Macaca fascicularis: one gene and its partner. The protein of the gene in region 1 interacts with the protein of each later gene in a biochemical or structural test. Links are inferred from orthologs where the notes say so. Each region holds a gene or a part of one and is shown in the gene's direction. Other genes may lie near its edges. The genes, in order: AKAP1 and MYCBP.

The links.
Region 2: the proteins of AKAP1 (region 1) and MYCBP form a complex in vitro, tested with the Homo sapiens proteins (2 studies listed by BioGRID). The link is inferred for Macaca fascicularis from reciprocal best matches to the Homo sapiens genes AKAP1 and MYCBP.

Annotation. Positions count from the first base shown.
Region 1 is NC_088390.1:49,610,329-49,614,134, reverse strand, and holds part of AKAP1 (A-kinase anchor protein 1, mitochondrial), read left to right. Parts: coding exon 1-1,568; intron 1,569-2,348; exon of another isoform or gene 2,349-2,450; intron 2,451-3,806.
Region 2 is NC_088375.1:196,053,743-196,058,177, forward strand, and holds the start of MYCBP (C-Myc-binding protein), read left to right. Parts: upstream 1-1,526; 5' UTR 1,527-1,528; coding exon 1,529-1,612; intron 1,613-1,812; coding exon 1,813-1,885; intron 1,886-4,435. Other genes in the region: GJA9 (gap junction alpha-9 protein), read left to right, coding at 1-346. UniProt on the Homo sapiens protein: May control the transcriptional activity of MYC. Stimulates the activation of E box-dependent transcription by MYC.

The DNA of each region.
Region 1 (3,806 bases):
AGAACCTCTTCCCATGGAAGACGTCTGTCCCGAAGTGGTGTCCATGCCCCCCAGCGTCACAGAGCCGCCAGAAAAGGAACTGTCCACCATGAGCAAGCTGCCTGCAGAGCCACCAGCATTGCTCCGGGCACACCCACCTCGCCGAAGATCAGAGTCCTCGGGCAGTCTTCCTAATACCATAGACATGAGATTGCGACCAGGAACATGCAGAGACAACAGTGCAAAGCTGGAGCTAGCCCTGACAGGTGGTGAAACCAAATTGATTCCTCTAGAGTGCCCCCTTTCATCTCCAAAGGGTGTACTATTCCCCCACAAATCAGCTGAGGTGTGTAAGCAAGAGTCCCCGTTCAGTAGGGTGCCAGGAAGGGGCCAGCCAGGCTACCCTGCAGCGCCCCCAGAGAAGCATGGCTCTGGGGAGAGGGCAAGAGAGACAGGTGGGGCCGAAGGGACCGGTGATGCTGTGTTGGGGGAAAAGGTGCTTGAAGAAGATCTATTGTCTCAGGAGCATGTCTTGGAATTGGAGAACAGCAAGGCCCCCAACCTAGCCTCTTTAGAAGGGGAAGAAGAGAAGGGGAAGAGCAGCTCATCCCAGGTGGGGCCGGTGCAGGAGGAAGAGTATGTAGCAGAGAAGTTGCCAAGTAGGTTCATCAAGTCGGCTCACACAGAGCTGCCAAAGGACGATGCGGCACCAGCACCCCCAATCACAGATGCCAAAGCCCAGGACAGAGATGTCGAGGGAGAACTGGGCAATGAGGAGAGCTTGGATAGAAATGAGGAGAACTTGGATAGAAATGAGGAGAGCTTGGATAGAAATGAGGAGGGTCTGGATAGAAATGAGGAGGGCTTGGATAGAAATGGGGAGGGCTTGGATAGAAATGAGGAGATTGAGCAGGCTGCCTTCCAGATAATCTCCCAAGTGATCTCGGAAGCAACCGAACAGGTGCTGGCCACCGCGGTGGGCAAGGTTACAGGTTGTGTGTATCAGGCCAGTCAGCTCCAAGGGCAGGAGGAAGAGAGCTGTGTCCCAGTTCACCAGCAAACTGTCTTGGGCTCCGACACTGGGGAACCTGCCACAGCAGAGGCAGCTGCTGCCCTGTCGGATGCTGCCCTCCCCTCGCCAGGCCTACCAGCAGAGGGCTCAGCACCACCAAAGACCTACGTGAGCTGCCTGAACAGCCCTCTGTCCAGCCCCATCAAGGACAGTAAACCAAAGATCTCTGCACACCACATCTCCTTGACCCCCTGCCTGCCACCGACCACTCCTGGTGAAGAGTCGCCGGACCGGGCGGGCATCCTGGTGGAAGATGCCACATGTGTCACTTGCATGTCAGACAGCAGCCAAAGTGTCCCTTTGGTGGCTTCCCCAGGACACTGCTCGGATTCTCTCAGCACTTCAGGGCTTGAAGACTCTTGCACAGAGACCAGCTCAAGCCCTAGAGACAAGGCCATCACGCCGCCACTGCCAGAAAGTACTGTGCCCTTCAGCAATGGGGTACTGAAGGGGGAGTTGTCAGACTTGGGGGCTGAGGATGGATGGACCATGGATGTGGAAGCAGATCATTCAGGAGGTAGGAGGGTCTCGGGTTCATTTAGAGGATGGGGCGCTCCCAGTATTTCTTGGAGAAAGGCCGCCAGTCTGCCTCTCCCTTCTGCTACTTGTGCAGCAAAGTCATGGTGCCCTTCAGCTCTTTGTCCCAACCTGCAGAGAGCTGGACACGGCATAAAGCTGGTGGGTAACTGAGCAGTTAGATTGCCCTGAAACCCCAAGCCTTGGGAGCTGTCACTTGGTTCCTCAGCCGGTGACCTTCCCCAGTGAGCCCTTCCCAAGGAACCAGCTCCAAGTTGGGCTCACTGATTAACATTAGTGTGCCTTTTTTTCTTTTTTTAAAAAAATTATTATTTGGGTGCAGATGGAGTCTTCCTGTGTTGCCCAGGCTGGTCTCGCACTCCTGGGCTCAAGTGATCCTTCCGCCCTCGGCCTCCCAGAGGGCTAGGATTATAGGTGTGAGCCACCATGCCCAGCCCATTTTTTTCTTTTTTAAACACTAACCTCTGTGTGTGTGTGTGTGTGTGTGTGTGTGTGTGTGTGTGTGTGTGTTTTAATGGAGAGGTCTCCTTAGCTTTCCCTCCCTTGAGTGCCAAGTATGGGTGTGAGTGTTTTGAATGGTTTATTTCCTTTTAATCATGTGCTTGTTCCCATGTCTTCACCTGCTTTCCTTCTCCAGAAGCTCTTACAGGGTAAGTGCCCAAAGAATGGCCACAGCTTTAAATACTTGTGGGAGGCTCGAGCTTCCTGAGTTGTCGCTGTCACCTTTGCAGAGAGCCTCAGCCATTTTCTTTCTGTGCAGTTGCAGCTCCACCCCGGGAAAGCGGGGCACTTTGATAACGAGGTGTCCTGGGTTTTTCGAGTGCTGACCCCAGCGTAGACAGTTCAGACCGCTAACTTACAGGTCAGCAGCTCCTGACCCTGCTTCTGCAGCCGCCCCGGGGTGTTTTCATTTATCTCATGGAGAGAGGCCACGAGTATCCCAGTGCCTCTCTGACGTTTGTCCTGGAGCCATTCCCTCCCATTTCAGCTCCAGGAAGGTTGGGAATCTTGATCGGGAATTTTACTACTTTCGGCAGCATCTCGTTTGTACCACACACTACGTTTTGTCACCTCCAAGATGCTGTTGCGACACTACTGTTTTTATGTACCTTGGAAGGACAAAAGTGCTGCCAGTCATGATTATAGAAGGCCAGATACTATATGATGCATCCTAATCTCTGGATGTTTAAATGTTTCTTAAAATATTGCATCTTAAAATGGGTGTTTTTTGTTTTATTTATTTTTTAAGAATAAAGGAGTTTCCCTTTGCTTACTGCCCCTCGGCTGAATTAACAAGCCCCACAGCCTTGTCTGCCTACTCTAGATGGATAGTAGTAGCTACTCAGACCTGTTGAGTTTAGGCTTGAACCTAAGCCATGGTGATGGGCAGGGAGGTTTAGAGATGGCGGGTGGAAATGAGGTAATACTGTCCACGAGCATGCAGTGGGTGCCAAGCACCAGGGTAGTGCCTCGCATGCACCCTCATGTCAGCTCTGCTTTGTGTGTGAGAAAGTTGAAGCTGAGAGGGGTCCAGGGACCACCCTACTGAGGGAGCTGGCAGCTGGCCTTGGAGTGCAGCCTGCTAGAGTCCTGGTGTGGTTCTGAGCCACTGCTGGGCGCCATCGAGATGGCAGGTGTTAGCCAGTCCCATTCTGTGGGACAGAGGCTGGGGGCTGTGAGTGAGCAGAGCTCCCCGCCCCCTTCCCCAACCCCTGTCAGCCTGTTATGCTTCCCTAGCCAAGCAGTCTTCCCCTAGAAGGGGTACTTTTCCCTGCATGAATCCTGTTCCAAGCGCCTAGGTTAAGGGGGGATGTCACTTTGAAGGTGATTCTTCCTTAGCTGGGAGCAGGATCTCTTGGGCCTTAGTTCTCTGCATCCAGTGTATGGGTTACTTGGCAAAGGATTATGCCCAGGGTTTGGAGAAACCATGTGGAAGGTAACCTAGTTGGTAGACTCTCAGGAGTGATCTCTTTCTGGTGATTGAGTCATCCATATTTAAGCCAGGGCCACTTCTCTTGAGCTGATCTGGACCCTCTTTTTTGTGACAGTCCCTTTGGCACACTCTTGAGCGAGAGTGAAACAGCCCAGGTCGGGAGCAGAGTCCTTTTCCCATTGGGTTTTCTTGGCCATGAGCTTTGGCTCCGTCTTTTGACCAAGGGAGTATTTGAGCCAGAAGAGTGTTCAGAGTTGCACGAATCAGGCCTAAGCAAAGGGAAAG
Region 2 (4,435 bases), on another chromosome or scaffold:
GAGGCAGTCACCCCAAACAGCTTTCTCCTTGCCAGCTAACTGCGATTGGAAACCGCGGTGGCTTAGAGCTACATGGGGTTCCTCTACAGAACATGAAAACCAGGGGTCACCTCCTAAAGGTAACCTCAAAGGCCAGTTCAGAAAGGGCATAGTCAGAACCCTTCCTCCTTCACAAGGAAAGTCTCAATCACTTGACATTCCAAACACAGCTGATTCTTTGGGAGGGCTGTCCTTTGAGCTAGGGTTGGTCAGAACCTGTAATAATCCTGTGTGTCCTCCAAATCACGTAGTGTCCCTAACGAACAATCTCATTGGTAGGCGGGTTCCCACAGATCTTCAGATCTAGACAGCGGTTGGCTTTTAGACATTGTATATATTATCAGAGAAGTAGCCTAGTGGTGGTGGGGCACGGACAAAATAGATATGGGCAGCTCTAAAGACCAGCTGTTAAGACAGACGGCAAACTCATTTCAGCAAGGGAAAAACAGCTCTAATTCTAGATTGTGAAAGAACACTTCTAAATCCAAAGACATAAGGTTGTCAAATCAGGATTTTTTTTTTTTTTAATGATATTCTTTCGAATGTGTGTAACTGATTTTGGGAATATCACATGTTCAGAACTGGGGCTAAATGGTTTGATCAGGTTTTCTCTTTGAAGAGACCACAGCCTTAGGACACGGTTCTTCATCTACATAATTCCACCTTGGACACTGGGTTAATTTTGTTTGCCCCTGAAACACAATCACGTAGTTTCCTTCTAGACTGCATCCTGATATGTCTCGAGTATAATCACATGTTGCTACCTAGTAAATAAAATCTTAAAAAGATCCGTGGCTTTCTTTCACCAGTTCATAGCATCGTGATTCATTGCCCGGATTGGACTCGGCTCTACTCACTGGACATCTAACCTCTCCACTTAATTAACAGTACGCACCCTACAAGGGTGTTGTGAGGATTAAAATTTAAAATACCCGTGTTTTCTACAGTGCCTGGCGCACAGCGCTCAAAAGCTATTGCAAGCTCGTTACTGCTCATTCTCCAGAAGCCCACATCAAGTCAGCCACGACTCAAGGAGACTCCAAAGATAAAAGCTGGAACCAAAATACATGATTCTAAACACCCTCCTCAGCTACTGCAAAGTCGTGAGCACTTTCTCAGGAAGAGAGCCAAAAAGTCCAGCACCTATGGGTCACCACAGTTTCCGAGGTCCCAGATGAGAAAAATGAGCTCGCTACCACCGTGCGGCGATCCTTCCTCTCGCAATAGTCCCAGTGCTCCCGGGCCCTGCCTCCGGACGCCAGTACAGAGTTACCAAAATCTCACCTCTTGCAAAGAAAACGAATCGCTACGGGGACCGGAAGAGGAAGAGGTGCGGCTCCAACAGCCAGAGGGGCGGGCATACGCAGCCTCCCTCGGCTCAGCCTGCAACGGGGGATGCAGAGCGTCCTGGTCGCCATGAAAACAGGCCACACCCCGGCGATCCCTGCCCGTGGTTCGCAAGTGCGCAGCCGCGCGCCCCCTTCCGCGCATGAGCAGTTCTGCTCCCAACCCGCCAGTCGCGGTCTCCGGCGCCAGCTACGCCGCTGCCGCTGTCACTATGGCCCATTACAAAGTGAGGGGGGCGCGGCGTGGCTGGGGGCATGCGGGCGGTAGCAAGCCGTTGGTCGGCTCTGGGTGGGAGTGGGGTCGCGCGCGCAGGTTTGGGCGGGAGGGCCCCGAGGTAGCGAGGCGGAGGCGGGGTTGCCAGACTCCTAGCACCTTCTTCCTGCTCGGCTCCCGGGCTCTGGCCACTGACCCCCGGTGTCTCTTCAGGCCGCCGACTCGAAGCGTGAGCAGTTCCGGAGGTACTTGGAGAAGTCGGGGGTGCTGGACACGCTGACCAAGGGTGAGCCTGGGCTAGGAGAGGGTACCTCGTGCCCTCGTCGTGCTCCCCGGCGCTGCCCCTTTCCCCAGCGGGCCGTAGCGTGGGGAAGGAGGGGAAACAGATGGGGCCCGTCCGGGGTCCAGCGAGGTGGGCCTCGGGGTTCGGTAGGGACCTGGCTGCTGGAGGCCGCCCGGGTGAGGTAGCCTAGCTACGCTACCCTTCTCTGCACTGGGAGTGAAACTCTTGCAGCTGTTGCAAAGTCTCTTCAACTTCCGTTGCTTTGCCTCGAGCAGCCGCAGTGGACATGTTTGCCAAAGACCTTCAGATCCCAATTCCTCCCACCTTACGGTTTTTGTGGAGTCCTCAGAATCTTGTTAAGAAACAGTTTCCCTCCAACAAAGAGCAACTGGAAAAATGACCGAATTTCAAAGTGGGCTATGAAATAGTTGAGTGAGCCTAATCCCCGAAGTAGGAGATGCATGGCCAATTTGGCTGTGGCTTTTCAGCCCCCATTCCTTAGTCTGTGTCAATTTTTATTTTGTGTATATTTCATAGTTAAAGTAGAATTACAGTTTAAAGAGCTCGAGGGCATATCAAAATGGTTACATTGTTTTCACTTTTTAAAATGAAAACTTACTGTTAACGCTGTATCTCTTCATTCGTGGCTTCGAGATCTAAGTAAGTAGATGAGTAAAGTGTCGGAAACAGGAGGATTCCAAGGGGTAGGGTACAGTTTACTTCATTAGCTTAACAGTAATTTAAATGCCTGCTATGTCACTTAACTCACTGGGATTTTCAAGGGTGTAGAATGGAATTGTTGGCAGGGATCAGGACTTGGGTCAAACTAGGAAGTTTGGGAAGTGTGGGAAATAAGTAGGTAACTGCTCTTTGGACAGAAGCAAAGTTTAGAGGAAAATTCTAGGAGCATAACTCCTGGGTCTTAGCAGAAAGCAGGCTAGTAATTTTGAATTGTTACCTATTTGGGGTTCAGATAATAGTTTACCTCTTTGCAAATAAACTTCAGCAAGTATTAAGGGACTACTCTGAAAGTACTGTGCTATGTTGTCTCTGGAAGTGTCACAGATGCTTTGAATGTCATTCCCTCTAAAAACTCCATAAGTTCATTTCTTTCATTTAATCATTTTACTCAGGCATCTGTTCTGCACACTGGAGATAAGCAGAGGAGGATAAAAGTCTCGGCTCTCATAAGCTTATGTCCTAGTTGAGGGAGACAAATACATAAATACCTAGTGTCAGCTAGAGGTAAGTGTTACAGATAAAAATACAGCAGAAGTTAGGGATAAAGAGTAACAGGTGAGGCCAGGCACGTGGCTCATGCCTGTAGTCTTAGCACTTTGGGAGGCTGAGGTGGGTGGACTGCTAGAGCCCAGGAGTTCAAGAGCAGTCTGGGCAACATGGCAAAACTCCCGTCTCTTAAAAGAAAAAATTGCTGGGCATGGTGTGTGCCTGTAATTTAGCTACTCTGGAGGCTGAGGTGAGAGAATCACTTGAACCCAAGAGGTCAAGGGTCCAGTGAGTTGTGATTGTGCCCCTGGGCAACAGTGACACTCTTTCTCAAAAAAAAAAAAACAAGTGACAGGTGGGATGTGTGTGTCATTTTATATAGGGTGGTGGGGGGAAGGCCTTTCTTAAGTACTTTTGAGCAGAAACCTGAAAGAAACAATATCTGTCAAGAGTTTCAGGAAGTATAAGGAGGCCAGAGTGGTTGGATGGAGCAAGCGAAAGATTGAATGGTAAAAGGCAGAAAAATGACAGTTGTAGGAGGTAACTGACTACACAGAAGATGTTGCCCAAGCTGGAGTGCAGCGGCATGATCTCAGCTGACTGCAGCCTCCACCTCCGGGTTCAAGCGATTGTCCTGCCTTAGCCTCCCAAGTAGCTGGGACTACAGGCATGCGCCACCATGCTCAGCTAATTTTTTGTATTTTTAGTAGAGACGAGGTTTCACCAGGTGGGCCAGGCTGGTCTTGAACTCCTTACCTTGCCTCAGCCCCTCAAAGTGCTGGGATTACAAGTGTGAGCCATCGCGCCTGGCCTCCACTAGAATTTAACCTTTTAATCTCCTTAGATTTCCAGGCTCCTAAATAACATCAGCCAACACAGTATTGACGTGATTTATTAAAAATTTGATTTTCAGCTTCAAACACAGGTGCTTTATACAATTCTATTTGTTTTTACTTTTTATTTTTTTTTGAGACAATCTCACTCTGTCACCTAGGAATGCCTGGCCTCAAGTGATCCTCCTGTCTTAGCTTCCCCAAGTGTTGATGTTATAGGCATGACCCACTGTGCCCAGCCTCACAAATTTAATTTACATATATATATATTTTTTTGAGACAAGGTCTCTGTCGCCCAGACTGGAGTGCAGTGGTGCAGTCACGTCTCACTGCAGTCTTAATCTCCCAGGTTCAAGCAATTCTTCCACCTCAGACACCCAAGTAGCTGGGACTACAGGCATGCACCACCATGCCCAGCTAATTTTTAATTTTTTTTTTTTTTTTTTGAGACGGAGTCTCGCTCTGTCACCCAGGCTGGAGTGCAGTGGTTCTG